5 linked regions of the Danio rerio genome follow. The protein of the gene in region 1 interacts with the protein of each later gene in a pairwise test. Links are inferred from orthologs where the notes say so. Each region holds a gene or a part of one and is shown in the gene's direction. Other genes may lie near its edges.

Region 1 (6,784 bases):
AGCCTGTCCAATCCTCTTCAAGGCCGACTACTTCCTGGGCGTGGCCATGCTGAACTCGCTGCTGAACCCCGTGATCTACACGCTGAGCAGCAGAGACGTGCGCAGCGCCGTGCTGAAGCTGCTGTGCTGCCGCTGCACACCGGACACACACCGCCACGGCCTGCAGAACACACTCTCATCCGCCAACGCCACGTCCATACACAAGTCCATCTACCCCAAACTGCGGCTGTCCGTCATCACCTGACTCTGAGACACACACACACACACATGCGCACACACACACACACATCACGTCACACGGCAGGAACTGAGCAGTGTTCTGGACACCAGACTCACACGGGGGCAAAAAACCCTTTCAGAAGCCTCAAAGGAGGTCAACACACACACACACACACACACACACACACACTCACACACACACACACACCTGCAGATCTCTATCAGCAGATGTGTGTTTCAGACTGAGTGTGATGAGCTTCAGAGAGAGCAGATGTCCTGGCTGTGGTGCTGTCTCTGCTCTGGCTCCACAGCGCTCAGCAGCAGAACTGAGGGTCAGCGCAGCTGGATGAGCTCGTGATGGACTGAGCAGACTGCGGGGTCTGCGGGGTCTGCGGGGTCTGTGGGGTCTGCGGCCGCTCGTGTGTCAGCGCTGTGGGGACGCTTTACTGCTTTAACGTGTAAATAAATGATGTTCTATTTTATTGTATAATAAATCATGTATGAATAACCCAGACAGAATATAACCTACAGCTGCTTCATATGTGTGGGTCAGTTTATCTGGTGTTCATCACTTATGAGGACCAAATGTCCCCACAAGTATAGCAATACCAGTAAATGATCTCATGGGGACATTATTTTGGGTCTCTGTGAGGAAAAAGGCTGATAGAGCCGGCAGAATGGAGGAGTGTGAAGGTGTGTGTGTGTGTGTGTGTGAGGGTTGAGGAGAGAGGAGACGAGCTGCCAAAATTACTCCAAATATTTCTGGGATGGTGATCATCAGAAGAAACAAAAACTAAAAGCTCAGAACACAAGTGTGTGTGTGTGGTGTGTGTGTGTGTGTGTGTGTGTGTGTGTGTGTGTGTGTGTGTGTGTGTGTGTGTGCGTGTCGGAAACCAACAAACACATGTGGGTGACTGCAAATTCAGCTGTGCGTCTGCAGAGGGGCTGCTGTTGCACACATGCACACACACACACACACACAAGCACACACACACACAAACAAACATGGAAACACCACAGAGCTCACCTTTACACTGTTTACCGTAAACAAACACACACACTCAAACCAACCTCAGAGCCGTCACACCTAAACCACGGGCATCTCTCAATCGCTCACACTCTCTCTTTCTTACCCACACACACACACACACACACACACACACACACACACAAGCTTAGTCATCTGTCAAAACTGGAACTTCTCATGAAATATTAAAATAGAGATGTGAAGAGTGTGTGTGTGTCTCTCAGCTTCTCCTGACCAGTGTGTGTGTGTGTGTGTGTGTTGCTCTGCCGTGAGTGTCAGACTGAAGTGCAGTAGAGTGTGAGTCGCTGCTCCAGTAGACGGGCACGTCAGAGGTCAGAGGTCAGCTGTTCACAGATTGGGCTCTTCTACAAAGATTTTAATGTTTATTTACTCATTAATGAAAGTCAGACTGGAGAGGCAGTGTGTGTGTGTGTGTGTGTGTGTGTGTGTGTGTGTGTGTGTGTGTGTGTGTGTGTGTGTGTGTGTGTCCTTCAGTGTAAAATGTTAATTGCTGAACACACACACACACACACATAACTCTGCATGTAGTCCTCCATCTGTCGCTCCGCTCTGCTCACTGAGAGCCGGACTGTTTTACTGATCGTGTTTTGGATCCAGTATAGGCATGAGATGTGTGCAGCTTCAGCTCAGCTCAGCTCCTCCTCTGATGATCACACTGGAGCAGAACAGAACAGAAGCTGTTCAGTCAGCTGAACCACAGATCCCAGAACAGCCAACAGCAGAACAGCTCAAACACAGCCCAGCAGCAGCCCGCTCTATTGACCTGTAGCGACACCTCGTGTCCAACATCAGTACTGCATCTCACACACACACACACACACACACACACACACACACACACACAGGCCAGCTAATGCTTAGTCACGCTGAGTTTCTGCTTTCAGTGGGTATGATACACACACAAGTACACACACTCACATACACACAGAAGTGCTCACACACACACACACACACACAGAGAGAGAGAGAGAGTGTCCGTGCGCTGCTGCTGATGCCCGTGAGTGTGTTTTCATTGTTTACTGTGTTTAATCGACATTACTGCCGCGTTTGTCAGATCTACAGGCTCGTGTTGATGCAGTTTCTGATGTACAGCTGTGAGGATGAGGATGGCGGCTTGTCTCCTTATTGATGAAGATCAGCTCATGATGAACTTTATTAATCTTCATCTTTATTCCTGATTGATCACTGTGTTGTTTATGGAGGCTTATAACGCGGTAAGAACATGGTAATAACACGAATAAAGTGTTTTGATTTGAGGTCGGCTCGCGTTTCCATCAATAATTTAAAGCGCGGGTCGCGTAGCGCTGAACTTTTCCTCAGCCTCGGTCTGTGGTTTCCCGCTCGGGCGCGGCGCCGCTGCTGAGTGTGGCCGGATCTGCGCTGCCGGGGGCCGGTGCCGTTTCAACTCAAGCCCGGGGATCTCAGGCCTCTCGCTGTTTATGTGTATTTACCGCGCTTTGTGTTCTTAGTGTTATTATAAGAGCTGAAAACAGCGGAAATCAAATTAAAGCATGACTGTAGAGCCGGGGTGAGGAGGATAAACGGAGATAAACACTTCAGTTCAGCAAATTGACAGAAACACATTAAAATAAACCTAGCAGACAGCTGGAACCACACACACACACACACACACACACACACACACACACACACACACACACACACACCTGCTGCATATATATTTGCTCTTTTAAACTACTTATTTAAAATGAGCTGAAACAACACAATTCTTGAGGTTTCATTTGTGAGAACTTAAATTTCTTATGTTCAATCCACACGCATTTGTTAAATGTGTTGAGTTAACTCAATCGACTTGTGTTGGGTCAAGATGAATGAATTGTGTGGAAGCCTGCATTTTTAACAGTGTGTGAGATTCTGTTTACCTGTACACACACTCATAAACAAACAAAAACACACTCATAAACACACACACACACACTAAGTGTGGATCAGAGTGTGTTCTGGTTCACTGACAGCAGGACAGTGTGTGTGTAGTCAGTGTGTGTGTATGTGTGTGTGTAAGCAGAAGATAGACTCCTGCTAACGACAGGAGGAACTCCTGAAACTCATTAGTTCTGATCAAATCACTGACGAAGATCTGATGAACCAGTCCTGAGTCCAACAGAAGAGAGAGTGTGTGTGTGTGTGTGTGTGTGTGTGTGTGTGTGTGTGTGTGTGTGTGTGTGTGTGAGAGTGTGTGTGATACTCCTGATCATTCATGGCAGAGTGTGTTATCGTAGTCAGTGGTGAATCCTCAGTGTTTGTTCTAATCTCTCTCTCTGTGTGTGTGTGTGTGTTTCCCCCTCAGGATTCGCGTGCAGACACAGATCAGCAGCTCTGCCCTCCTCTACAGACTGACTGACAGGCGCGTGTGTGTGCGTGTGTGTGTGTGTGTGTGTGTTCACACTGGTCAGGAGAACACAGATATGTGAGCGTTCCTCTGCGTGTGTTCCTGCTGGTGATGAGCGGTGTGTGTATGATGTGTGCGTGTCTCTAACACAGGTGTGTGTGTGTTCTCGTGACCGCTGCGCTGGCGAGTGAGGATGTGCCCGCGCTGATGTTGGCGGCGGCGGGCATGACGGAGTGTAAGGCGGAGGTGACGCCGTCGGCCAGCAATGGGCACCGCGTCTTCAGCTACACGCTGGAGAGCCACACGGCCGCCGCCTTCGCCATCATGAACGAGCTGCGGCGCGAGAGACAGCTGTGTGACGTCACACTCCGCGTGCGCTACTGCCCGCTCGACACACACGTCGACTTCGTGGCGCATAAGGTGGTGCTGGCCTCGTCCTCGCCTGTGTTCCGCGCCATGTTCACCAACGGCCTAAAGGAGTGCGGCATGGAGGTGGTGCCCATCGAGGGGATACACCCCAAGGTACCAGCACACACACTCACACACACACACACACACACACACACACACACACACACACACACTAGGAAAAAATAATAAATGGGAATTTGGATTTGTAGTGCAGTTTTCCCAGCTGTGTGTGTGTGCGAGTGTGTGAGTGTGTGAGTGTGTGTGTTTGTGTGAGTGTTGCATCATGATACAGTGATGGTCTTGAATGTGTACAGCTCCTCTCCTGAGCTCCAGCACACACACACACACACACACACACACACACACAGCTCAGTGGTCAGGTGATCAGTGACAGCAGCTGTTCTCTCTCCTCATTTCCTCCTCCAAACCTGTTTGAGTTTCTGTTGAACACAGCGGTAGATGTCCTGGAGGAAGCAGCTGATGACTGCAGCAGTGTTTCTGTTCCTGCTGTGGACGTCAGCGGCTGCTTTCCCAGCATTCCTCAGAGTATCAGAGACTGATGAAGCTGTAGAAGCGCTCGAGTGAGGAAAGGAGGAGGACATGTTCATTATAGGTGACCTGTGCCTTTCAGTGTGCCCACTTCAGAAACGGTGTGTGTGTGTGTGTGTGTGTGTGCGTGTGTGTTCTTGTCTCCAGGTCATGGGCCGGCTCATTGAGTTTGCGTACACGGCGAGCATCTCAGTGGGTGAGAAGTGTGTGATCCACGTGATGAACGGCGCCGTGATGTACCAGATCGACAGCGTGGTTCAGGCCTGCTGTGATTTCCTGGTGGAGCAGCTGGACCCCAGTAACGCCATCGGCATCGCCAGCTTCGCCGAGCAGATCGGCTGCACGGAGCTCCACCAGAAGGCCAGAGAGTACATCTACATGAACTTCAGCCAGGTCAGAGCGGCCGACGCACACAGGATAACCGCTCTCACACCCCTCACACACCAACACAAGAGTTCAGGCCTCAATAAGGGGCTTTCACACCCACACTTCTGTTTCGGAACCGTCCCGTTAGTCCAGTCAGCGCGGCTCGTTTGGCATATGTGAATCCAGCAATTGTGCTTGGATCTGCACCAAATCAATCAGTCCGAGATCGCCTGACTGAGGTTCAGTTAAAACTCTGGAGCAGATGGACTGTAGTGAGAAAGAGAAATGATCTGAGCCCGGCGGGATCACTGAGGATTCGGGCCCGCAGAATTCTGCAGATGTTTAGCTCATCATTGATTCTGTCTATTCACTTGAGTTAGTGTGTGTACATCTGTACTTATTCTGTAATATTATTGACTGATCTGAAAATGTTGATCTGATTTATGTACAGCGCAGTGTGCAGTCATGTCTTCAGGAGAGATATGATACGAGAGACTGGCTTTGTTTACCAAATAAAGTGGATCTGTATGGATTTGCATTGTAAACATGAAATTAAAGTTTAAAGGGATTAGTTTTAGTTCATATATTAGGGTTTTAGTCATGATACTCCTAAAATAATTACACATAAATCCGCAGATTTTGAACACAATTTTGTGCAGAAAAAGCAAAACCGTGTGCAGATTCCGCCTGGGCAGCTCATGGGCATATACACGCTACATATATGAGTAAAATGTGCGTTTCATGTCAAATACGAAGCGAAGCTCGAGACAAATGTAGACTCTGGAAAACATTTTCCCGCGATAAGACGCAACTACAGAGGAGAAACCATCTTCCCAAGGAGAAACACAAGAACAAGAACAATGTTTAATCGCAGCAGGTCAAACCGTGACTCTATAGATATTTCCCGGTGTGTGGAGCGTTCCCTCTGCGTGTGCCTGTAAGTGTGTTTGGGCACTGCTAACAGTGTTTTGGGTCTTGTTCTTGTGTTTCTCCTTGGGGAGATGGTTTCTCCTCTGTAGTTGCGTCTTATCGTGGGAAAATGTTTTCCAGAGTCTACCTTTGTCTCGAGCTTCGTAAGTGTTTCAGTCTGTGTTGTTGTTTTGCACCACCGTACATCCCCCTAACCCAAACCCCCCAACAGCATGCCCTCACCACCAATACCCCAACTCTAACATGCGCGCGCGGTGTGTGTCCTGCAGGTGGCGACGCAGGAGGAGTTCTTCACCCTGTCTCACTGTCAGCTGGTGACCCTGATCAGCCGGGACGAGCTGAACGTGCGCTGCGAGTCGGAGGTGTTCCACGCGTGTGTGGCGTGGGTTCAGTACGACCGTGAGGAGCGGCGTCCGTATGTGCAGGCGCTGCTGCAGGCCGTCCGCTGCCACTCGCTCACGCCGCACTTCCTGCAGCGGCAGCTGGAGCACTTCGAGTGGGACGCGCAGAGCAAAGACTACCTGTCACAGATCTTCCGGGACCTGACGCTGCACAAGCCCACCAAGGTCATCCCCCTGCGCACGCCCAAGGTGCCGCAGCTGATCTACACGGTGGGCGGATACTTCCGGCAGTCGCTCAGCTTCCTGGAGGCCTTCAACCCCTGCAGCGGCGCGTGGCTGCGGCTGGCGGACCTGCAGGTGCCCCGCAGCGGGCTGGCGGCCTGCGTCATCAGCGGCCTGCTGTACGCCGTGGGTGGACGCAACAACGGGCCCGACGGGAACATGGACTCACACACGCTGGACTGCTACAACCCCATGAACAACTGCTGGCGGCCCTGCGCACACATGAGCGTCCCGCGCAACCGCATCGGCGTCGGCGTCATCGACGGCATGATCTACGCCGTGGGCGGA
Region 2 (6,574 bases), on another chromosome or scaffold:
GACGATCAGGATTTGCATGCCATGTAAAATCATTCATGATGCCCATTGTTTTCATAATTGAAGAACTTAGCATGGTTCTGAATGCACAGCGTGTCAACATTTAAGGTTTCTATTGCACAAGCTCTTACCATTTATTGTACTCACCTCCTTTTCTTCTGCTCGATAAATGTTTGCTTTCTTCTAGCTTTTCCGTGGCAGTCTTCTCCTCCTGTTTCCAAATTCATTGAAGTCATTTCAAAATTATAGATGACTCAAAGTGATCTTGTGTAAGGCATGTTAGCAGGTGGCATTCGCTCATGTTAGGATAAATTAACATACTCACAGATCACTGGCTGCATTCTGAGGACATGCTTGTGTTTATACCAAAGACCCTCCCTTCATGTTCCATGTGACAGTTGGCCATTAATCACCAGTAGGTTTGCATCTGTCAAAACAAGATGGTCTTTTACTTTTCTGAGAACTCTGATCATGTAGATAAGCATTTGGGTTTGAATAACTGACTCTCATGATTCCAGGAAAAGTACTACCACTTTTAAAATAATGTAACATCTATATTAGTTCCCAAGTAAAATCACATTTTTCTGTGTGCTGGCATTTATGTTAGATAAAAACGTAATTGGCACTATCATATAAATACAGACAGTGTCACGAGATTGTGGCACTGGCTGCAGACCAAACACAATTATAGTTCAGTAATTTAAGCAAACCACAAAAATACATTTAGGAAAAAAGACTGTAAATACATTCTTTAAAAAATCTAAATACTGCAAATATGACACATTTTGCAACCTCTGAGGTGCAATATCTCCAACCCTTCAAATCAAATATGAAAATGCTTGAAACATTACCTTACAGTTGTCCATTCTCCTCACGGATCACTGAAAACCATATTTGAGTCTAGGCTTGTAACAGTAGTCCATTTCCCAAACATATCTGGAAGGATACATTTCACTGTTGGTATCACTGCAGACGAGCTCTTCGCTTTCAAATTGGAATTGTATCTGAAAAGTAAATATAAGCATCCAACTCAAAGCATATTTTAGTCAAAATCAAATAGCTTACTTGACTAGCATAAAACCCAAAACAGAATCACAAGCATGTAAACCAATTTAATTATTTGTGTAAAAAGCTCTCTGATTTCCACTGTTCATCTCCTCCTCTTGGAGAATGAACATGCAAGCAACAGGCGACCTGCTGCCCCATAAGCTGTTGGATCTATTTGATTTATTGACATTGTCTTTCTGTGATTGGCTTGCTCTAAACCACAGCTTTTTTCACTGAGATGAAGCTTGTTGGCAATGCTGCTTTTTTAATGTGCAGACATGCATGTCATCTCTGATACTTAGCCACCTAATATATATTTATCTTTAAATTAAATGTACATTATCTTAAATTAAATAACAATAATAAAAAAACAGAAAACAATACAAAAGACTGATTTTTTTAAATCTGTTAAAAATCTGTGATTTGGCATTATCCCTCCCGAGAAAAAAGAAAAACTCTTATGTACTGTTGAAACTGATGACAATGGTAAATCTGTAGGTGCTGGTTACTATCTACTCATCTGGCGCCATCGGGACAGAGTTGATGCCCTGTCTCCATATTGACCTCCATCCTTAAGATGTATGCCAGCCTCCCACAACCGGAATAAACACTGGGCTGATTTCAATGTTTTGAAGTTATGCTATTTAAAAATAATAATAATAGAATAGTAAGGGAATATTGTAATTAAAATTTGTGGAAAAAAAATATTACCTAATATCACGAATTGAAGGTTCATTTTTATGCTACATTGAAGTAAGCAATTTTCAAGAAATTATTAATAATTATTTCAATTTATATTTTTATGTAAGCTTTATTTGGGCTGAACTATTTAATTATTAACACCTAAAAGGTTGCAATATGTAACGTTATTTATCTGGCAAGACGAGTCGAGAAAGCAAACCACGGCATAATAAACAAATACCCGATCCTGGGTGGTCGAAATGCTATTCTGACCATGAAGATGGACAATTTCCTGTTGACAGAAATTATTTTTGATTGCTGGGAAATGAAGTCCACTTTGAGCACTTAAGTGATGATAAACAAAGCACGATAATTTCCACAAGAACTCATGGAGCTCAGCTAGCATAACAACTTGTTTTAGTTCACTATAACGAGAATGCTCATAATAATGCTTTTTTGTGGTAATATATTGTGTTGAGACACTTATGATTTATAATTAAATGTAAAATGCTAAAACTGCATTTAACGAAACTTTTATTTCATTTTCGATCCCAGCCTCTTCTCATTTGCTATTCCTATTGGTTGTCACGCCAGTCAATAATCTTCTCTACCGTCTGATTGGTCGAGAGGCGGGTCATTCAATTGAATGAGTTGCGGAAGTAGAATCGTACACTTGTGGTGGTTCTCATTTTTTTGACAGGAGTGAACGCACAATTCAGGTAGAACTTGCTCCACGCGCGTTGATAATATCTTTAAAATGTTTACAGAGAGAGCCCATGTTCGCTCTAATAGTAAACAGGATGTTTGTATAGCGAGTTATTGCCTATATGTTTCCGTTGCACAGGTTTGTTCATTGTCCGCTTTCCTCCACTATCAACTGTGCTAACGTTAACAGTATTAGCTGATCAGTTGAGTTCCAGAAGTGAAACAGAAACCCACAGAATCTGGGCTGATTCACCTTTCAGCATTAAAGACACATTTCTGACATTATGTCTACACATTTCCCCTAGATTAAAGTATTTACTTAACGTTACAGGATTGTGTTAGCTTTGTGTGTTTGTGCAACATAAAGTTCAGATGGGTAATAATAAGCAGGTTATTTTTTGTTCTATTACATATTGACATTATTGATCAGTGATTTATGTATGCTTTTGTGGTTTTCAGTGGAGAGAAATCAAGCTGCCTGTAATCAGAAATGGTGGACTCTCAGTATTACCTCCCAAACGACATTGGGATCTCTGCTCTGGATTGCCGGGAGGCTTTCAAGCTGCTGTCTCCCAAAGAGAAACTGTATGCACACTACCTCTCTCGGGCGGCCTGGTACGGTGGCCTGGTCGTGTTGATCCAGACATCTCCTGAGTCTGCCAAGATCTACGTACTGCTGCAAAAAATGTTCCGTGCACAGACGCCACTGCAGATGCAGGAAACAGCGACTGCAGCTGGACTGAGTGCAGAGGAATATCAGGTGAAATGTCCTGATGCAAACACCAAAGTTAACATCTTCTCTCTGTGTTCTTTGCAGTAACAAAAATGTTCTGTCTGTTTTCCAGGCCTTCCTTGTATATGCTGCTGGGCTTTTTGCGAACATGGGGAACTACAAGTCATTTGGAGACACCAAGTTTATCCCCAACCTGCCAAAGGTGAAATACCATACTTAAAGTGATTGTTTGCTCCAGGATGATGATTATTCTTCATTGTGTTGCTCCAAATACACAAGACATTTGTTCATGATTGAAAAAAATTAAGATATCTTAAAATTTAGCGCATTTCTGCCCCTCCATTGATTGTCTGTTCACCAAAATCTAATATAGAATAATAATAATAAATAAATCCATATCAAAAAAATCATATCATATCAGTGGTTTGATTTAAGTTTTCTAACTAATCATGCTTTCTCAGTTTATTTTTTGGAAAACTTAGATTAAACCCCTTTATTTATGTGGATTTGTCTTGTATAAATGTTTTGACGCATTTAGAGTCTTAGTTGAATAGATTTATTTCCCATTAATGTTAAAAATATCTTAATTTTTGTGAAATTTCTCATGGTTTTGGACTGGAGCAACATGAACGTAAGTAAATGTTTAAAATGTTAGGGTGAACTGATTGTCACTCCATGTGTGGATAATGTTTCAACACTTTTAGTATTTGATAACTGTGCATATTTTGTATATGCAGGAGAAGTTCAAGGCTCTGGTGTGGGAGAGTCTGGCCTTTAAGGAGGATCCCAGTGGCACAGAAGTGCTGTGGAACAGCTGCTGTGAGCCCCTCTACTCTCTAGAAGAAAAGCAGAAGCAGCTTGGTCTGGGTGAGAAGGTAAAATCTGTTTAAATCCTATTACAATATGACTTTATGCATTTATTATGCATCATCTTAGGTTTACATTTTGCTAATTGTTATTATTTTTTTAGGGAATCACGGCTTATTTCTCAGGGAATTGCTGCTTAGAAGATGCAGAGTTTGCCCAGAAGTTTCTGGACTCCAAGGTATTGTACACCAGTGAAAGATCCTGCAAGTTGTTTAGATAAAAACTGTTTAAAGACTATCATGCTTTTTTTATTATAAATGCCTGATATACATTTTGTCAAATATTAATATAAATGAAAGTTACTGTATTAATATTTTAAAACTCATCATCTTTCTCATATAAGACACATTTAAGCATTTAAAAAAATCCATGCCTTAAAATCGCTTTAGTATCACTCTACACCCTGTTTTATTTTGCTCCAGTTGTTGTTTACATTTTAGTTTACCATTTGTTCAATTTTGTTGTCTTTAAAATGCTCCTGTGGAGAACTAATTTCTTACTCATCACATCTTAAGCCTGTTCTTAATAGCAATACATCATTTTAGAGCATATACAGTGCTCAGCATATATAAGTACACCCCTCATAAATCTCTCTTTTAAATTATTTTTTATTATATATATATATATATATATATATATATATATATATATATATATATATATTAAATACAGTTTTCAAAAAGAGGAAAAATCAAGAGAAGCAAAAAAATTAATGTAGTTGAAATTTTGTAGGTTGTAAATTTATTTTTCAATACTTTGCTTAAATTTAATCGTGTTATGTTTCTATTTCTAAAGATGCCCGGTGACTAAAATATTATTTCAATAAATATATCTGTTTAATAAATCTGTTTTGTTTAAATGCACCAAAATACATTGTCTATATTCACTGAGAAATTGATAAAAATATTAATTCTCAAAATGGGGTGTACTTAACTATGCAGAGAACTGTATACAATAATGCACTTTTTTAAAGTGAGAGTAAGAAGCCAAATTATCACCCAGAGTTTTAAATAATAATCTCACAGTCCATCATCAGTTTTTTTTTTTTTACCATTTTGCACCATTTTATAAATTTGATTTTGTTGTTTTCTTACTAATAGTGGCTATATCTGCACAGTTTCTCAATAGTGGTCTCTCACACTTGGACTTCTTTCTTCTTGTAGAACCTGAGTGCCTACAACACCCGTCTGTTTAAGACAGAAGTAGATGGGAAACGGTGCTATGAGGTGCGTTTGGCCTCTGCAAAGACGGAGGGTGAGTATTAAAAACAGTTTATATTTGGATTTTATCATTGAACTATTTAAACTCTGAATAAATTATGTGTATTATTTTGGATAAGATATTTATTTATTTTATTTATTTATTTATTTATTTTTTCTCCTGTCTATAGACTGTTGTGCCGAAGAAGGGGAAGGTAAAACGTGCTGTGGAAGATTTGAATTTGAGGATGCTGTGTTCTGTGTGAAGAGGGGCGATTATTCATTTCTTATGGAGAAAGTCTGTCAGAATTTGGAGAAAGCCAAGGTGTAATGTCATTAAAATAAAGAAAACACAGATTTAGGGATGTTTTTTAAATGTAAAATGAATGGCGTTAGACCTTTGGAGCCTAAAGTAAAGTTGTTTATTTGTCTTAGGTTAACGCAGCTGATGAAAACCAGAGAAGGATGTTGGAAGAGTATATCCGCAGTTTTACCTATGGCTCAGTGGAAGCCCATAAAGAAGGGTCCCGTTTTTGGATCAAGGACAAAGGACCTATTGTGGAGAGGTGACTGACCCATATTTAACAGAGCTGTGACTCATTTCATAAAAATAGCTGAGTTTCAGTGTAGGTGGAGCCAAAGGTTAACCAAACAAGTCCAACCCAGTTCCAATGTGTTATTCAAAACAGTCATTATAAACATTTTCATCAACTCTGGATTAAATTTGCAGCATGTGTAGCTAAAAAAGTGACGTGTGTAATCTGTAATGGACAGTCAAGAAATGTGAAAGGTTTCATACAAAATCTGTAAAATATCTTAAAAAGAGATTGTAATGAGAAATATAACAAATTTCTGTCATGAAATTCTGAGAAAAAAACTAACAAACTGAACAGCAAAAACAAACAAAAAAAGAAACCGATATACTAAATCTATTCAATTTATTTTGTTGTTACAATATATAAAAATTAATTTTTTTAAAACAGTAGATGTTAAATGCTTATATTTTATGTATAATTATAGAAATATACAAAAGCACAAATGTAATGCAAAAAGGTTATAATAATATAAATATAATTTACTTAAAATGAAAATGAACATGAACATGGCTAATAATTATAATCAAAAGATTAAATACAATTCTAACAAAATCCTTTGAGAAATTAGATTTTGTTTTAAAAATCTAAGCAGGTTATCAATCTAGCACAATTCACCATGCTGATTGTTACAAACCCCTGATGTTTGTCTAAGGTAAGGTGGGGTTTGACATTTATATGCAATTAAATAAAATTTATACAAACAGTGAAAGTGCAAAAGACAACCCATTTAAATACCAAAAATTGTGATT
Region 3 (6,624 bases), on another chromosome or scaffold:
TTAATGGTAGGGAATAGCTTTCTCTGATCTCTGATCTCTATCTTAAATATTAATAATTAAAAATTTATAATATAAATAAACATTTAACCCACTTTATAATTGTTTATTTCATTGTGAATGCATAATTGTGCCAATCAAAGCTAGTGAAAGTATCACTCAACAGTCTGAAACTGGCAGATATAGTGCACCGACAAACATCTTAAGTATTCACATAACACTTTTCTTGTAAAATTGGTGTTTACATCTGCATGTAGTGTTAAAAAAGAACAATTAAACAAATAATTTGCATAGTTTGACCTTCAGTAACCTCTAAAATACTCACTAAATATCCCTGAAAACACTGAAAATGTATACATTTTATTAATAAATAAGATGTAATTTAAATACATTCATAAATTTGTTTCACTGAAGCATGCATTACCAAACTACCAAAAAATGTACCCCTCTTGCTCATCAATATGAGTCGCACACTGTTTGTTTTCCAGCACCATTAATCTTAATTTCGTTATATACAGAAAATTTATATTATTTTAATATACTAGAGTAAAGGATTTCAATTTAAGTTCATATAAAAATTCATATAAAATGCTTGACAGCTAGTCTATTTGATGCATTACTTTTTTAAGCGATGTTTAATAGTTGTCAACTAAGACAACCCCACCCCATCCAGAGACTGAGGTACTCAGGGATAGTCTTATCCACCCCAGCAGCCTTGCACTACCTCTACCACATCATGTGGAGGTCGGGAACAGTGCTGTGCACCCAACTACAGTGGGACTACACTTCTCAGCATCCAAGAGGATGCAAGGATACTGGAAAGTATAGAGCAATGTGGTTTTCATCTTGGCCGTGGAACACTGGACCAGCTCTCTAGGGTGCTCGAGGGTTTGTGAAAGTTCACCTGTCTATTTCACAGTTGCTTTGTTGACTTTATAGTGTACAAGACATTCTGTTAAGGGCTGTCTTGCCTCTATATGACCGAAGCAGGAGTTTGGTTTGCATTGTTCTGACGATCTGTACACCCTCAGAATGTGCTACTGGTTGCTCAGTCTGTCATGTTTAATCTATAAAAATAAAAACAGTATAGAGCATCTCATTGTACAGGGAAACGTGTTTCCTTACTGTGCACATGACAATAAACAAATTGAATTGAATCTTGTCAGCTTCAAATGTCTACCGCTTTAGATAAGGATGTAGAACACATATCTTGTCAGCTTCAAATGTCATATGAACTTTTTGTGTTTATTCGACCGGTAGTTTATTCTAATAAACATTTGAATTTGACAAGATGTGCTACCCCTGGATGATTTGGGGACCACAGGTTTTCATCTCTGCTATTTGAAGTTGATGCTGTCCTGTTGGCTCCATCAAACCTGGAAATTCAGCATGCACTGGGATGGTTTGTGACATTGCCAAAGCCAGAGTGCTCAACTGAAAAAAATTGGCCTGCCATCTCCTGCTTGGAAGAGTGTCTGTACCCCAGGTGGAGGAGTTCAAGTAACTTGGGATTATGTTCACAAGTTGTTGAAGGATGGAAAGTGAGATTGACAGGAGAATCAGTGCAGCAGCAGCACTAATGCGGTTGATGTACTGGTCTGTTGTTGTGAAGGGACAGCTCGAAATATAGGCTACTCTTCAATCTATGGCTTCTCTAACCTGGTCATAAGCTTTGGGTCATGAAAAAAGTACAAGATTGCACCTACAAGCAGCTGAAATGAGTTTTCTTCGCATAGTGGTACAGCCTTTAAGACAAGTTGAGGAGCTCTTGGGTGAGGTGAGCTGCTGCTCTTCCACATCAAGAGATGCTAGTTGAGGTGGTTTGTCCCATCAGAGGGAGACCCAGGGGATGACCCTGGACATTGGAGGGACTGCGTTTCTGCTTGTCTGGAAACACCTTGGGATCCCCCTTGAAGTGCTGAAGAAAGTGTCTGGGAAGTCCGGGATTCCCTTCCCTGCTGTGACTGCTGCCCCCGCGACCTGGCCCTGGATAACCGGCAGACAATGACGTACATGACATGACTTTTAATTTTAAAAAAATAATACACGTATACTATGTGTGTGCCATTACTTTTCCTAATGCTGCGTTTTAGGTAGGCTATAGTCAATAGTTTTGTGTTTTTGGTAAGGGTGCCACAATACATGTAAAACTAAAAACAATAGTAAAAAACAAATGACGCAAGTTCTTAAATATAAATCTAATATAAATCTTAAATATAAATCTAATTGTTTTAATTAAAAATGTATCGTATTATTTATGGGCTGTGAATACAACGGGGAATTCTGATGAATGATCTCATGCCGTATGTTCGCTAGAATATTCTACGCCTGCGCAGTGGCAGCGTGTTTCAGCGCCTCAGTTTCGGCCAAGTTGTCGGCAAGAGGAAATTCTGCAAGTCATGGTGGGCCATTCAAAGCGAGAGGGGAGTGACAACCATACAGATATCTGAGGGGATAAGTGCATGGTTAGCTGGAAGTGACTAATGACAGTGGTTGTGAATGCATATGGATGTATTCGGAGTCATTTGTCAGTAAACTCATTCTGAGTAAGTATGAAAAAACGACTATTTTGATGCTACGCTAGCTGGCTAAGTTAGCTATAGCTTTCGTATTTGCGAATGTGGGAGTGTGTGTTGGTGTGTCTGCAGCAAATGCACGTGACAACGTTGCTTGAGCTACAGGAATTGTTGTAAGTGGCTAGGTTTGACCGATAAACAGAAATGGGTATTTAATAAAAGTTGTTATTAGTAATTCAGTGTCCCCGGCAGAACCCGGTCAGGCCCCGCCTCATTATTGGCTGCAGCGCGGCGAGAAAATGAGTGACAGCCATCTCAGCCAATCAGAGGCTGTTGCGCCACTTGTTGCTAACGGGCTGCTGGGCTCCGATAGCGGAAGTGTGAGAGGTCAATACTTCACAGCGCCTGGACAAATAAATTGTCTTTAGACGAGGTTTTAGAAGGATGTGGTGAAAATAGACAATAAACGACGGAGTTCAGTCACCGATCTGCTGTTATTGACGGCGAACATGCGGGATTCCTTTAAGGATATCACGTTTTTTGAGGTATACAGGGATGGGTGGATGGATGTGGGTGTGATTATGAGGTGGGTGTATTTAGTGGGAGGTCATAATGTATTAATGTTTTATAACATATAAAACAAAAATGGTCTGTGACATATAGATTGATATTACTCTGTTATTGATATTATAATAAAACTTGATTTGTATAGCATGATAAGTCATGCTGCAAGTTGTAAACTTTAATGTTTCTTTAATTTATATCAATCTTTCATTGCAATCATAATCAGCTGTTATTCATGCCAATATAATGGCATTTTGACTATTGTTTCTCTTCTCTATGTTTGCAGGAAAAACTCATGCTTGCAGATATAACCTGGATATTATTTGGGGCGCAAAAGCGTTAATCAAAAACAAAAGTGGATTCAACTTTAGTAGTATTTAATTAAAAGCACATGACTGTGGAACAAAGCGAGCATCATTTTATGTTGTGTCTGCTTTTGATTTTTTATTATATACAAGGTTAAACGTAACCTAATTTGGTTTGACGTTTGTTTGCGTGATTTGTTTTTCTTTTTTTTGCTTTTTAGTTGCTTTTTGAGTTTTCTTTTTTGTTCCTTTGCAAAGAAATGCTTTACTTGAAAAAGTACTTCACAGAGGGTCTTATTCAGTTCACTATCCTCCTGAGTCTGATTGGGGTACGAGTGGACTTGGACACTTACTTAAACAATCAGCTCCCCCCGCTCCGTGAGATCATCCTGGGCCCCAGCTCGGCCTACACCCAGACGCAGTTCCACAATCTCCGCAACACCCTGGACGGCTATGGCATCCATCCTAAAAGTGTGGATCTGGACCATTTTTTTGCCACTCGTCGGCTATTGAACCAGGTGCGTTCGCTGGATCATCTGCGTGTGCCTAGCACGGAGCTGAGTGCCTGGCTGGTGCATCGTGACCCTGAGACTGTGGTTTCGGCAACCAGTCAGTCCGGCCCCAGCATTGCCCTGGACAATGGGGGCAGCCTGGAGGACGTGAACAACTCCGAAGCCTCGGCCATGAGAGGGGCTGGCGGTACTTCTGAGACCACTTACAGCCTCAGTGGAGAGGACAGCCTGGGAGCCGTGGCCCCTGAGGACAGCCAGGAGCAAGGGGAGAGAGAGAGCAGCGACGACCTCTCCAAAGAGGTACAGTAGCTGTGTGTTTTTAGCTTAGCCTGCTGTAATTAGATTGACGTTGGAACGTATTTGATTTCTTCAAAGGGAGAACAGCGTTATGCTATTATCTCTCGATATTAGATTAAGGCCATTGAATAGTGGCTATTAAAAGCAATGTTTGTGAACTGCTTGTATGTTTGAGTCCTTCAATAGTGGCTGGACAGGGTGTGGTCTCATTGATAGAGCTCTGAAAGCTAGATAGTTGTGCTAATCTTAAGGTTTTTAAGCTTGGAAATGGTAATTTTTTTGGCAAAATCACAGCTTTTTTTAATGACGTATGTATAGATTAGTTGTTGTATTTACTGATGATTTGCCTTTTAGATAGAGGATGTCTACTCATATGGTTGTCAGGATCTCACAGGATATGTAGTGTTTCATTTTGTTGAGAAAGAAGTTTTCTCTTTTTTTAGACCTTTTTGTAGACCTTTTGCGATTATTGATTAAACATCTTATTATAGTTATGTGATATAATCCCATTTATTTAAGATAACCACAATTACACTGCAGCTTAAAGTTCATATTGTGCCATCCAAATAGGCATGGGCTGGTTTAAGTTTCTGATGGGAAGATACCTTGGATAAGAATACCATGGTATCATGGTATTGTGATTACTGCTCTTAAATAAGTTCTTTTAAAATGTCTGGGTAAAAAAGGTCAATTGATTAATAAAAAAAAAAAAAAAACATTGAACACTTTTTTTAAAGAAACATTTATAACATTTTGGAGCAGTAAATATGTCAGGCTAAATAGTTAAAATAAATGATTGACTTCTGACCACTTAATTAGTTTTAAAAACACAGATTGTTTTAAAACACACAAAAAAAACTTGTCCAACCTGTCCAAACTCATTCCTGGAGGGCCGGTGTCCTGTAGATTTTATCTCCAACTTGCCTCAACACACTTGCATGGATGTATCTAAAAAAGTCTGATTAGAGCTTGATTAGCTAGTCCGGGTGTGTCTGATTGGGGTTGGAACTAAACTTTACTGGAAGTTTGTGCACTCCTGCCTTGCATATTTTGGGAATCGTATAACACAGGGGTGGGCAAACTCGGTCCTGGAGGACCGGTGTCGTGCTCGGTTTAGCTACAACTCTAATCAATTACACCTGCTTATAGATTTCTAGTGATCTTGAAGACACTGATTAGCTTGTACAGGTGTGTTTGATTAGTGTTAATAGCTAAACTGTGCAGGACACCGGCCCTCCAGGATTGAGTTTGCCCACTCCTGCCCTGATATAACAGAACATTTTAGGGGTGTTAAAATCTTGACTTTTCCAAACCACAATAAACCTTTAAAACTTGTTATTGTCCCATGCCTACATCCAAATAAGGCACATCATATGAGAAGGGTATACTCATAGGTCAGAGCCAGCTCCAAGTATGTGGGATTGAGCTTTAAGTGGGCTGTGCAAACCTGGAGTTTTTATTTATTTAAAGGTGCAGTAGGTGATCTGCCAAAAAGCTAACCGCTTAGCATATTATTTTTGGACGGCGGGGAGGGACTGTGATTCAAAGCCACACCCCCTGAAATCGCAAGCGCGTGCACCGGGTCACAACAGGCGACAGACAACCCACTAGTTCATGTCATTCGCCAGTTAGTTAGTGCCAGCGCTGAGCAGGAATTACATTTATTACTTAGCCACACTTAACGTTACATGCTATTTCAGAGCTAATATTCAGAGTAGCATGGTAAACAGTATAGGAAGGCTATCGTTGTTCAAAAATGACCCAATGTGAATATAAAAGCAGCTTCAGCTCAATAAAGCAGGTTAAGCTATTTACTGGTGTTTTGTTGTTAAACTAAATATAAATCTACATTATAGATGCTGTCAAAGAACCTTATAAAACTGAAAATAATCACATCAATCTTTCACCGGGAGATTTAGTGGCTGAACAACACGTCTGTGCATATAAGTCATTCATAACAAAACACAATCTAACATAAAATAGTTTTAAAACAGAATTACCTGTCTAACAGTAATACTTCAGCCATGGTGTCGTCCTTCCTCCAGTGTGCTAAAGTAACTCCAGTATTGATTCAGTTTTTTAAAAATTTCAATTCAGCATTTGATTTCTCCCGGTCCGTCTCGTGACCGTGCGGCCGCTTTAAGAGCGAATTATACCCGCGCCTGGCTTTACAGTAATCGGTCCGAGCTCGGCTGTCCTCCGGCTCCTCCGGCTCCGACTGGGCATCTGCGAGCGGAGTTTTATCCTTTACCCAGAATATAAAAATACATATAAACACATTTTGATCATTTACTGTAATCATTACTATTGGACTGTAAAGAGAGTTTCAACCAGCACAACAAAAAATGTTTCTGAATACAATCACCTACTGCACCTTTAATGTCTATTACATGACACTGAGTTCAATATTGTGCTTTATGAATGTCTCTTCAC
Region 4 (5,313 bases), on another chromosome or scaffold:
AGACACACACACACACAAATACAGAGACAGACACGGATACTTAAAGACAAACACACACTCTCAATCAGACACATAAACACACAAAAGCACAGAGACACACACACAGCCTGTTTCAGCATCGCTCATATACTGTCTCACTGAACGTTTGATTCATTCATATATTTATTTATACTGATCATTTTCAGTATTAATATTGTTCATAGGGCTGGGTTAAAATGCTGTGTGTGTGTGTGTTTCAGAGGACATTGAGGTGCGCTTCTTCCTGGACTCGTGGGAGAGTAAGGGCTCGTTCTCTCAGGCTGATGTGCACCGGCAGGTGGCGATAGTGTTCCGCACGCCGCCCTACTGCGACACTAACCTGACCGAGCCGCTGCGTGTCAAGATGCAGCTGCGCAGACCATCTGACCGCGAGGTCAGCGAGCCCATGGACTTCCAGTACCTGCCCTCAGACCCGGGTGAGCTTTATTACAGTGTTGCCATTACATACTGCATTAATACCTAGTTATTACAGTGTTAACTAAGTGTTATTACTGCATTATTATGGTTAATTAAGTATTATTACTGCATTATTATGGTTAATAAACTGTTATTACAGCATAATTACTACATTACTGAATTATTAGTGTTAATTAAGTGTTATTAATGCATTATTTCTACATTACCGCATTATTACGGTGTTAATTAAGTATTATTACTGCATTATTACTACATTACCGCATTATTACGGTGTTGAGTGTTATTACTGCATTATTACTACATTACCGCATTATTACGGGGTTAATTACTTGTTATTACTGCATTATTAATACATTACTGCATCATTACAGTGTTAATTAAGTGTTGTTACAGCATTATTACTACATTACCGCATTATTACTACGTTATTACTGCATTATGACATTATTACAGCAATATTATGGCAATATTACTGTGTTATTACTGCAATGTGTACGTGTTTTACAGCATTATTCCATTATTACAGCGTTATTACTGTTAATTCATTAATAAAATTTTTACAATGTTATTACTACATTATCACACTATCAGCATTATTACTGCATTATTATTGTTACTACTGCATTATTATCACTGTTATAACTGTTATCACTGTTATGACTTCATCATGGCATTATTGCTGCGTTATTACAGTGTTATTGCAATCTTAGGGTGTAATATAGTTTTGTTAATTCATGATTACTACATAAATACAGTGTTAGCAGTTATTACAGCATTATTGCTGCATTATCACTGTTATTTCTGCATTTTCTTTGTTTTCTTACTGTGGTAGCACTATTAACACGATAATAATGCAGTAATACTACTGTTATCTTTGTGTACCCGCATTATCACAGCATTACTACTGAGTTATTGTGACATTACCAAGTAATTACTGTGTTATTACTGCATTATTACGGTGTTAATAGTGTTGTTATTGGGTTCTTACTGCTTTATTACAGCATTATTACATTGTTATTACTGCATATTCTGTGTAATGTAATGAGATGATTTAATATTTTGTCGTGTGTGTGTATGTGTGTGTGTGAAATGAGCAGATGAGCACCGGCTGATGGAGAAGCGCAAGAGAACTGAAGGAATGCTGCATAATCTCAAGCTGAGCAGTATCATCACAGGTGTGTGTGTGTGTGTGTGTGTGTGTGTGTGTGTGTGTGTGTGTGTGTGTGTGTGTCAGTGGGTGATTGCGTGGGGTCAGTGTGTGTCTGTGTGTCTTTTTGTATGTTCGCTAATCACTAATGAATGTGTATGGGTCATTGAGTGTGTCTGTGTTTGCGCACTTATGAGTGTGTACGTGGTTATTGAGTGTGTGGGTGTGTGTGTGTGTATTAATGATCATCACATGATATCATTTTACTAATAGCTCAGAGGTCTGTCTTCTGGTCAATGTGTGTGTGTGTGCGTGCATGTGTAGGGTCCTCGATGTCTGCTGAAAGACGGCCATTCCCTACGGCTAAACGAACTCTACCTGTCTCCAAACAGCCAGTGGCAGCCAGTGCACCAGCCAGTGTACCAGCAGGTAACTTTTCCTCATCCGCTCGACCGTGGGTGTGTACAGCGGAGTAACACACACTGATCAATACTCTGTTCAATCAAACACACTGATCTCTCATTACCATTTACACATCACCTCTGCTGAATGCTGGATTCTGATTGGCTGCTGGTCACTCTCAGGTGTTTGGTTATTGTCAGATAAAGGCACAGCTAAAGTAGTTCCGGCAGGTTTAGAGCACAATACAGCTCCATATCACTCCACTGAATGATCAGAGTTATTACACAGCTACAACAGTCAGACATCACAACAGAAGGAGGAGATGTAGAGGACACTAGTGTTACACACAGGAGACGCTTAAGGAGGACACACACCTGACTAACACACTCACACACACACACACACACACACACACACACACAACATCTCAAGAGTGATTTCTGCATGAGAGCTGTGGTTTAAACAGTGTGCTGAGCTGTTTTCTCTCTGTGTCTGTCTAGTGTCCGCCGCTCCTCCACTGAAGCCTCCACCCACCTCCTTTTTCTCTCCGCCCCCCGGTCAGCTCTTCACCCAGCAAAAGATGGAGCCCTCACCCTTGCCGGCATCCTCCTCAGACATCTGGAAGTATCTGCAGGCCATGTCAGTGGACAGCCAGCCCAAAGCGGTGCCGGTGCTGCCCTTTCCCAGTGGAACCGTTTCCACCGGTAGGGATGCAAGGCTGATAACAGCAGCCAGGGGAGAGAATACTGTCCTGCACCCGTACACACTGCATTACACACACCTCACACACGTGCTCTTATTAGTGTAACGCATCACAGATCTCATGGTTTGCATCACATTGTCACGGATCAGACCATTTTTTGGATCAGCTTGTTATGTGCCGCCTTGAGCACGCAACAAAAAGAAGGGAACCAAACCAAGCTGAATGAAAAACTGCTAAGAGATATTCATTTAAAGGTTACAAAGACAAAATAATAACATAAAGTGCAAAGAGAAATCAGAGTAACCATTTTACATTTACATTTAGTCATTTAGCAGACGCTTTTATCCAAAGCAACTCACAATTGAGGACAAGGAAGCAATTTAAATAACCAAATTAATTTAAGTAACCATATCAAAACATTCCCCATAATGTTCAAAACAACATCAGATTACATCGGAGCAAAGTTCAAAATAAAGAAAAGTAATATAAGCAGTAGGTAAGCCAAACAAAGTCAAACCAAAAAACGATTCTCCCAAACACATCTTAGAAGCTCCTTTAATAAGCCAGAAGATTAGCCGCACATGCTGCACCATACTGAGTCACCTACTAAACATCTACTGCGTCCCAAATCGCATACTTATGCACTATTCTACTTCATTTTGTAGTATAAATAGTGTCAGTAGTGTGTTCACACTGAAAACTCTAAGAATAATAAGTGCACTTTAATTACCCGGATGATGCACTCATTCAGCCAGTATAATGAAGTGTGTAATGATGGACACTTCACGCACTCAACGACCGCAGGTTTGCTTACGTAGCGGAAGGGGCGGAGCTATCGGACGCACATGTTGGATAACTTTATTTATTTTGGATGGTGAAAGCAAAATTCTCCTATGAGAGTGAGTATAGCGCCTCCCGATGGTGAATGCGGCAATACTCACGGCAGGTATTATTAGATAATTCTGTTGTTTATTTCACTGATTTGGCGACTGTCACACGTCATCAGGGAAACGGTTTGAATTTCCGCTTAGTAAAAAAACATTAGTGCTCCATTTGGGACGACACTACATACATATACTGTCCTGTTGAGTGTGTAAGTACATAAGTACATAGTGCATGAGTGCATAGTGTATAGTGTGCCATTTGCGACGCAGCTAAAAAGAAAGCAAAACCAGGAAACAGAAAAGACCAATCACAAACCCATAACAAGCTATAAAGGGGGAGACAAATGTAGTTTGCTTTCCATTTATTACAGAAACAGCACTGCAAGACACTTTAGGTTTTAACAAACAGAACTGAGAACCTGTGATTTATTAAAAATAACATAGAAGAAATAATCAGCTGAATAACAACAAACTAAAATATTCAGTGCTGTGGGAAATTTACTGTTACTGCTGCTGTTGCTGATGACGCTAAATGTAGAAGTCTAACATCATTATTTGAACATTCTTAATTAATTTAGTCTTATCTTCAATAATTGATTCAGTTATTCACTTATAAAGCTTCATTGCTAGATGACCAATGTTTAAGAATTATTCAGAGGCGTATTTTTGATGGCTGGTTGTCGCCACCTACAGGTGAAGTAATGTAACTGCTGCCTGCAACTTTCGTTTTTGAGCGTCAAGTTAAATGCATATGACGGTGCATGGTTTCCGCTACATTAATCTTCTATAGCGGGACGCCATGCCAAAATTCAACCCGCCACGGCTACATTACAGCTTCTCATTCTCATTTTTTTAATAGCGGGTAATAATCGCACCAAAACATAGTAAAGGGTAAGTGAATTATAACAGCGCAAACATTTCTGTAACCGCAGTAGTGCTGTGCCTAATTTGTTTAACCCTTTAAGATGACGTGCTGACTGACTGACTGATGCGTGAGGCCACAACGTATAAATATCGCTCTGTATCGCTCTGTAGATCTATTGGAGACATTCATAAATATTTCTAGCAAATCTAATAAATGCTGGAGACATACTCACTACACAAACGCACTAAATCGCACTTCAGCAGTGTTAATTTGAGAGCGCACAAGAAGATCTGCGCGCTCTTGAAGGGGCGTATATTTGAGGGGCGTGCAAGAAGTTTTGTGGACGAGCTGAGGAAATCGGCGCACAAGCAAAGAGATCCGCATGCTGTAGGCCAGTGGTTCTCAAACTGTGGTACGCGTACCACTAGTGGTACGCGGGCTTCCTCCTAGTGGTACGCGGAGGAATCGGCAAATAATGAAAGAAACAATTAACACTTTTAATCCTTTGATGCGTAATCTAACATCGATGTGATCAGCATTGTCTGTTTTGTGAAGCGTACGATCACAATGCTGTGCTTAGAATGTTTATTTTAGTGCTTTGTGACATTAGCTGCTGAAAATCAGTTTCCGAAGTTTAAGAATTGATTCTGAAGCGTGATTTGACTGACATGAAAAGTAGCCAATCACAGTCGACCTTTTCTAGTCGCGTGAAACGTAAGGGCGGGACAAAGGCTTTCTGTGTTGCAGAGACAGAGAAAACAACTTAAAAACAAAAGTTTTGTTGGAATAATGCTTCTCGGATGTTTTCACTATAGAGATGTCTAGCAGAGTAATTAAACCGCGGACATATTTCCTG
Region 5 (6,677 bases), on another chromosome or scaffold:
CCGTAACCTGGCAACAACCAGTACAGCGAAGAAATGGCAACATGGCGGCAGCATCAAATTATAAGGCTAAAAGAAAATGTCTGTTTTTATTGTCTTGAGAGCAGACATTTACGTGTGAACAACGCAACAAAAAAAGTTAAGTAATGTTTTGCAAAGTTTGCCGTCAGTTTGACAAGTCACCCACCGTTTGTTCAATAATTTCGAACGGCAATAAAATATTTCCACATTTTCCATACTCCTCTTTTTGTTTGCATAACACTTTTATCAACAATTTTTAAGTATTGAAATTCTAGATACGCGGACTTTATTTTTGACACATTATTTAAAATATGTGGCTAAAACATAGCTATTAACTTCCCTTTTTTTTGGTGGAGACAGTGAAAATTTTGGCAGGGCAAGTAAAAATCTGAACCACTTGCCCGATTGGACCACTATAAAAAATCCTTAGCGTTGAACCCTGTATAATTATGGAAAATAATAGTTTTTGATAAACTATATATAAATGTTTACAGTTACCTCTCAACTTCACATTTATGCTGTTTTTGTAGATATTTGTAATTTATTTTACTCATTTACTACACAAACATGCTATAATTTGGCTATTGGAATATCTTTTTTTTTTATCACTGAAATTCTAATGCTGAGTGGTTAGCACTGTTGCCTCACAGCAAAAAGGTCGCTGGTTCAAGTCCCAGCTGGGTCAGTTGGCATTTCTGTGTGGAGTTTGCATGATCTCCCTGTGTTGGCGTGGATTTCTTTCGGGTGCTCCGGTTTCCACCACAGTCCAATTGAATGAATTAAATTGGCTGTGGTGTATGTGTGTGAATGAGAGTTTATGGGTGTTTCCCAGTACTGGGTTGCAGCTGGAAGGGCATCTGCTGTGTAAAACACATGTTGGATAAGTTGGCAGTTCATTCCGCAGTGTTGACCCCTGATGAATAGAGAGACTAAGCTGAAGGAAAATGAATGAATGAAATTCTGATGTAAATTTTATTGTTAAATGTTTCTGCCTCATATTTAGGGATAGAATGCTGCCATCTGCAGGTCAAAGAAAAAATTTTTTTTTAAATATTGTTAAAAAAAGAAAGTGCAATTTCCACATATATCCAGCAGGGGTCCATAGAGACTCATTAATTTTCACATATTTTTTTCTTGATGCTTTAGAAAACTTTTCCCCTCAAATGTATGTTATGTATATTTACATTTGTAGATTATTATGTTTAAATGTGCATAATTGTAACAAGTCACCACTAGGACATGACTGTAATCACATATTATTTGTTTCAGAAGTTTTTTTTATCATAATTGATTTATTTTTTAAGAGCAAGTGATGAAATTTAAATTAAAAAGTATATAAATCCAACACAAAACAAGAGTCAAGTGTGTGGGTATGTGTGTGAGTGTGTCAGAGTGAACATGCTTGTTCCATGTTGATTTTGTGCTTTAGTATTAGTTCTTCATTTATATATAAACATTAAGGGCCCTATCATACACCCAGCACAATGTGGCACAAGGCGCCGGAGAAGAAGAAGGCATGAAAGTATGGTTTTTATATTTATATGAAAATAATGTTTTATAATATTTAATTCTTTATATTTATATCCCATAGTATATATCCTTATTATATCCTATATATATCTTTAAAATTGAATTTTTTTTTCATATATAAAGATATTTGTGTATGGCTCTACATCTTGTGTGTATTAAGTAGTGTGTAAGCGAGGTGCACAACTAACGCGCTCTGCGTTGGACAATAGACCGGCTTTGTACTGGTCTATCACTGTTGCGATTTTCCTCGGTGCTAGGCTCTGCCCGAAAAGTCGCTAAATGTCGCTACATTACATCATACGTTAATTTGCATATTACTGATGTCATCTCGCTCTACCATTTCTGTTTGTTTAACAGCCTATGGTCAATAAGGAGTATTTATATTAGCACTACGCTTTATGTAAGCATGTCAATTTAACTAAGTTTATTGCTGTTTGAACACAATATATCAGTATAGATGTGTAATGAATTTGCAGTAATCTCTCTGGTGTAATAAGCTCAGACAAGTTCCAAAACTGTCACTTAAAATATCTGTGATTGTGAACAAGAAAAGAATAAACAGTCAAATTAAATTGTTAAAATAAACCAGAAGCAGATCGGAGCAAAATCATTTGCTGTCGGTACACAGAGGGGTGAGGTTGCAGGTGGAAGAGGCTGCTGTATGAGGACTGATTGGACCGCCTGTCAGTGGTCTGAGGCGGGGGAGGGGCCGGCGGCATCACCCTCAGCTCGTTGAGAAGAGTAGGGACGGTACAGTATGGACAAATGACAGTCTATAAAAATCTCCAGTAACACACAAAAAAGTCGCTAGATTTGTCGCTAGTCACTTTTTAAAAAAATTTGTTGCTAGGGGGGTCTGAAAAGTCGCTAAATCTAGCGACAAAGTCTCTAAGTTGGCAACAATGTGGTCTATAGAACAGACTATTATAGTTTCTCAAAATAGCAACGCGCCTCAACACGTCTCCTTTTTTAGATCAGAACGCCTATGGACGCACATATGAGCGCAAATGCATTTGCTATTTAAACAGCTTGGCGCAAAACGTCAAAACAACTCTTGTATCAATCTGAAACGAACAAACAACAACTGCGTCGCGCCTTGCGCCACATTGCGCCGGGTGTATGATAGGGCCCTAAGATTTGTAGATTTGTAGTCATGCGTGTGCGTGTTTGTGTGTGTGCAAGAGATATATAATGTTCGATTCATCTTCCATTTGTGCTCTACATCCTAGAAATTAGAAATGTAAAACATTTCAGATTTAACAGGGTTTACAACTTTGTTTGGACAAATGAATCTAAAAGTTTTTTTCACTTTTCCCATTCATTTCTAATGTGACTTCAGTCTGACTGAGATGAGCTTGATGATGATTTGTTTTCACATCTTTAAAACAACCAAATGAAGTCCTTTTTTTGTTTTTAAATTATTTAGGAAAAGTCACAGAATGTCAAGCCCCTGAGATAAAGGGGACATAAAAAAAATATTTGACCCTGTGGGCCAATTAAGGGTTAATTGAAACTTTAATTTTCAGACGCATTTATATTATTATTAACAATTAAAATGGTCTTTATGCAAAATATGATGCAGATGCATTTTACATTTCATCTTGAACAAATATTATCACAATTGTGGGTCTGTAGCGTTTGAGCTTGAAACCCCCTGCCTGCTATATTGTAAACATAATGCAACTACACTCCGTCCAACTCCATTATCAAGAAAAGTAAAGACACATATTTTGGTGTGTTTTACTTACTTGACCAGTTAACGTGATTTCTTCTTTCTTTCTTTACATAAACATATTATTTTTTACCAAACCGTCTAAAGAGTTTGTCAAGAGTAAATAAAGTTATTTAAACGGCGCTTTTGAGATTCATCAAAGAGCTCTTTGGATTCATGTCAGCAGCCAATCAGACGAGGCCACCTGATTAAAGCCCGCGAAACGCTCTACCTGAGACTCCCTGACTGACTGTAATGAACACAATCGCAAAATCACGGTAAAATATCACCACATTAGCAAGTTACATAAGTGTAAAGAGCGATATACATTTTTAACCGCTAAAACAATTTAATATCAGCTTTAGTATTTGAACAGGAAGCAAGAAATAGCTTGGAAATGCGTCTTTGCTAACTGTTTTTCGCCGTTTTCACCACCAGCTCTAACCGTATGTAACTACCCTGCTGTTAATACATGTTCTATTTCCTTCCTCAAGAACCAGCATGTCTGCATCTAAATTCACCTTGCTGTGTAATTCGCACAAATGCCGGGTGAAGCTGAGCGGTGTGGCCTGGGTCACGGCCTGCTCCCATGTTTTCTGTGACCAGCACGGCTCAGAGGAGTTCAGCCGCACCCCCGCCGTCTGTCCCGCCTGCTCCTCCATGCTCTCCGGCAAATTAGACGTCCTGCGAACCGAGCTGACCCCATCCGAGCAATACAAAGCTATGGTTCTGGTCGGACTACAACCTGAAACCGTTTTGGAAATCAGTCATAAAGCAATAGACTTTTGGATCTACCAGGTTTGATGATTGTGTGGTGTCATGTGACCGTGGACCACAAAACCATATTGCTTACAGTTTTATATAGTTGTATATCATATATTACACGGCTCCATTTTTCTTTTATGCTAAAAATCATTATAATATCAAGTAAACATCATGTTCCATGAACACATTTTGTCTTACTGTAAATATATCAAAACTCATTTTTGCTGTATGGATTGCTAGTAACTTTGGACAACTGTAACAAGCTTGGACAACTTTTAGGTTGTTCAAAATATTATTCTCATTATTTAGAATTTTTTTGTATCCTCAGATATTCAAATAGTTTTATATCCACCAAGCAGTGTCATATCCTAACAAAGATATATGATATATACAGTTGAATTATTAGCCTTCCTGAATTATTAGCCCCCTGTATATTATTTCTGTTTAAAAAAGAATTTGTAATATTCAAAAATGCTTAAAATGACTTTAATGGTGACCTGAAAATTTTTCTTTTTTAAATTAAAAAAATGCTATTATTATTATCCTTGCCAAAAAAACCAAAAACAAATCAGACTTTCTCCACAAGAATAAATGTTATAGGAAAGATTGTGAACAATTCCTTGCTCTGTTAAACATCATTTGTAAAACATTTAAAATATATATGTATATTTTTAACTTCAACTATATATTCTAAAAATATATCAAACTGTCTTAAAGTTTGTCCCGAGTAAAAACTAGATACTAGGCTTGGGCGATATCCAAATTTTAAAACCGTCAAACCGCCTCCATATTTTACCCCGGTATCCGGTATTACCGGCGTAATAAAAAAAAAAAAATGACGTAAGGCTCAGACAGCGTCACCAAACTGTAGGCTTGAGCCTAAACCATTCAGAAACTGCATAACTTCTATGCGACCTTAGGCTCGCGGTCAGAGAGAGAGAGAGAGAGAGAGAGAGAGAGAGAGAGAGAGAGAGAGAGAGAGAGAGAGAGAGAGAGAGAGAGAAGCGACGCAACGCACAGCATCTCTCTCTCTCTCTCTTACACACACACACACACACACACACACATCTCTCCCGCGATTTATTCAGAAATTTGCTCCCACACCGTAAGAAATCTGGCCGGCTCCCGCGGAACAGCAGCGGGAAAGCAGAGAGCTGTCATCGGGCCATAAAAATTATACCCGATAGGTCCCGAGTCCGACAGGTACATTTTGATTGACAGCTTTATCAAGCCCAAACCTGTTTACAGCCCGACATTATTCAAATGTGCTCATGCACACAGCTCTAATGCATTTTTTCAAGAATGAGTCATTTATATGTTTTAACATTATTTATTCGTAACAAGCGCAGACTATAGGCCACTTGAAAGTTGGAACAAATAAATAAAATAAGTCCTCTGTAACATCGTAACATCTCAGCACTCTATAGGTCTAGGTACATGCACTAAGCCTTTAAATTGGCCAACACACCAATGAAAAGAAATCTTGCTTAACAAATCAAATTAAAATAAACTCTAAATGATGACGGGTATTTTGGCAATAACGAAATTAAGATAAAGGCGGTGCAAGATGTTTCTCCACTTCTCTTCACAATCTGGCATTAGGGCGGCGGTGAAGCTGAATATTAAAATAATAATGCCACCATTAGTCTGTATACTCTTTCTTCATTATGATTATATGGTTTAATTAATATTTATTTATATTTTAAAAACCCTTTACGCACCAAGATTAGGCTACGTGTGTTTGTGGAGAAACATTATTAAATCCACTGGTTTTAGCGCAGTCTTGCGCTCATGTGCGTCCAGCAGCTGAACACCCTTTCCTGCGGCTACAGGTCGAGATGCAGAGTTCTTATCCGGCTGATTTTGCAAGTTTTGGGTAGGATTGTTTGGTTATCTTCTACCAGTTAGGAACATCCATTTAATTTTCCATGACAGCGGTTAAGTGTAGCGAGCGGAGTGGCCTCGTCATTTTACCTGCTTGCGGTTTAGGGCTCTACCGTAATACGCAGTGTATGAGCGACCGCAAAATACCTGCGGCTGGAATAACCGCTCTTTCTGAGCTAGTGACTGACTTGACCGCCGTCAAAATTACCTTTTTTTTTACTACTTCATCATCATTTGTTTCACCTTTGCAGGGATTTATTTTAATGCAGGGATTTGGATTTTTTCGGGTCTCGCCGGATTCGGGCAAAGATCTTCAGCTCTAATGCAGACCTCTCGTTCATATTAACCACGTCTCCCTTCTGTTCAGTCGAAACTGCCAAACTGCAGGACACTTTGAAGCGCGACTCGTCACGTCACGTCACGTCACCTCTCCCTCTCTCCCCCTCCCTCTCCCTCTCCCCCTCTCTCTCACCCTTCCTCTCTCTCTCTATCCTCCACACTGTCCCGTGATGACAACCACATATACGTTTTTGTAGGCATTAAATAAAGGATATTTAATATATTATGACGGTATAACGGTATTGAAACTGACACCGTTGCTATTTTTAGATCCCGCGGTATACCATAATACCGTATTACCGCCCAAGCCTACTAGATACAGTTGAAGTTAGAATTATTAGCCCCTCTTTGAATTTTTTTATCGTTTAAATATTTCCCAAACAATGTTTAACAGAGGAAGGAAATTTTCACAGTATGTCTGATAATATAT

The links.
Region 2: the proteins of keap1b (region 1) and dpp3 interact in binary tests that used the Homo sapiens proteins (3 or more experiments, as listed by UniProt). The two-hybrid records come from large-scale screens. The link is inferred for Danio rerio from reciprocal best matches to the Homo sapiens genes KEAP1 and DPP3.
Region 3: the proteins of keap1b (region 1) and nfe2l1b interact in binary tests that used the Homo sapiens proteins (3 or more experiments, as listed by UniProt). The link is inferred for Danio rerio from reciprocal best matches to the Homo sapiens genes KEAP1 and NFE2L1.
Region 4: the proteins of keap1b (region 1) and rela interact in binary tests that used the Homo sapiens proteins (3 or more experiments, as listed by UniProt). The link is inferred for Danio rerio from reciprocal best matches to the Homo sapiens genes KEAP1 and RELA.
Region 5: the proteins of keap1b (region 1) and ccnb1ip1 interact in binary tests that used the Homo sapiens proteins (3 or more experiments, as listed by UniProt). The two-hybrid records come from large-scale screens. The link is inferred for Danio rerio from reciprocal best matches to the Homo sapiens genes KEAP1 and CCNB1IP1.

What each region holds. Positions count from the first base shown.
Region 1 is NC_133181.1:201,865-208,648, reverse strand, and holds the start of keap1b (kelch-like ECH-associated protein 1B), read left to right. Parts: upstream 1-2,464; 5' UTR 2,465-2,481; intron 2,482-3,575; 5' UTR 3,576-3,824; coding exon 3,825-4,139; intron 4,140-4,724; coding exon 4,725-4,970; intron 4,971-6,142; coding exon 6,143-6,784. Other genes in the region: s1pr5b (sphingosine 1-phosphate receptor 5b), read left to right, coding at 1-244. UniProt on the Homo sapiens protein: Substrate-specific adapter of a BCR (BTB-CUL3-RBX1) E3 ubiquitin ligase complex that regulates the response to oxidative stress by targeting NFE2L2/NRF2 for ubiquitination.
Region 2 is NC_133196.1:30,380,843-30,387,416, forward strand, and holds the start of dpp3 (dipeptidyl peptidase 3), read left to right. Parts: upstream 1-2,373; 5' UTR 2,374-2,444; intron 2,445-2,889; 5' UTR 2,890-2,920; coding exon 2,921-3,190; intron 3,191-3,275; coding exon 3,276-3,365; intron 3,366-3,900; coding exon 3,901-4,038; intron 4,039-4,133; coding exon 4,134-4,208; intron 4,209-5,193; coding exon 5,194-5,284; intron 5,285-5,420; coding exon 5,421-5,554; intron 5,555-5,664; coding exon 5,665-5,795; intron 5,796-6,574. UniProt on the Homo sapiens protein: Cleaves and degrades bioactive peptides, including angiotensin, Leu-enkephalin and Met-enkephalin. Also cleaves Arg-Arg-beta-naphthylamide (in vitro).
Region 3 is NC_133187.1:30,687,723-30,694,346, forward strand, and holds the start of nfe2l1b (endoplasmic reticulum membrane sensor NFE2L1b), read left to right. Parts: upstream 1-2,376; 5' UTR 2,377-2,686; exon of another isoform or gene 2,687-2,765; 5' UTR 2,766-3,058; intron 3,059-3,363; 5' UTR 3,364-3,642; coding exon 3,643-4,194; intron 4,195-5,059; exon of another isoform or gene 5,060-5,310; intron 5,311-6,624.
Region 4 is NC_133182.1:1,069,175-1,074,487, reverse strand, and holds the end of rela (transcription factor p65), read left to right. Parts: intron 1-239; coding exon 240-455; intron 456-1,553; coding exon 1,554-1,631; intron 1,632-1,927; coding exon 1,928-2,032; intron 2,033-2,505; coding exon 2,506-2,813; 3' UTR 2,814-3,168; downstream 3,169-5,313. UniProt on the Homo sapiens protein: NF-kappa-B is a pleiotropic transcription factor present in almost all cell types and is the endpoint of a series of signal transduction events that are initiated by a vast array of stimuli related to many biological processes such as inflammation, immunity, differentiation, cell growth, tumorigenesis and apoptosis.
Region 5 is NC_133182.1:19,533,785-19,540,461, reverse strand, and holds the start of ccnb1ip1 (E3 ubiquitin-protein ligase CCNB1IP1), read left to right. Parts: upstream 1-3,105; 5' UTR 3,106-3,514; coding exon 3,515-3,537; intron 3,538-3,753; coding exon 3,754-4,057; intron 4,058-6,677. UniProt on the Homo sapiens protein: Ubiquitin E3 ligase that acts as a limiting factor for crossing-over during meiosis: required during zygonema to limit the colocalization of RNF212 with MutS-gamma-associated recombination sites and thereby establish early differentiation of crossover and non-crossover sites.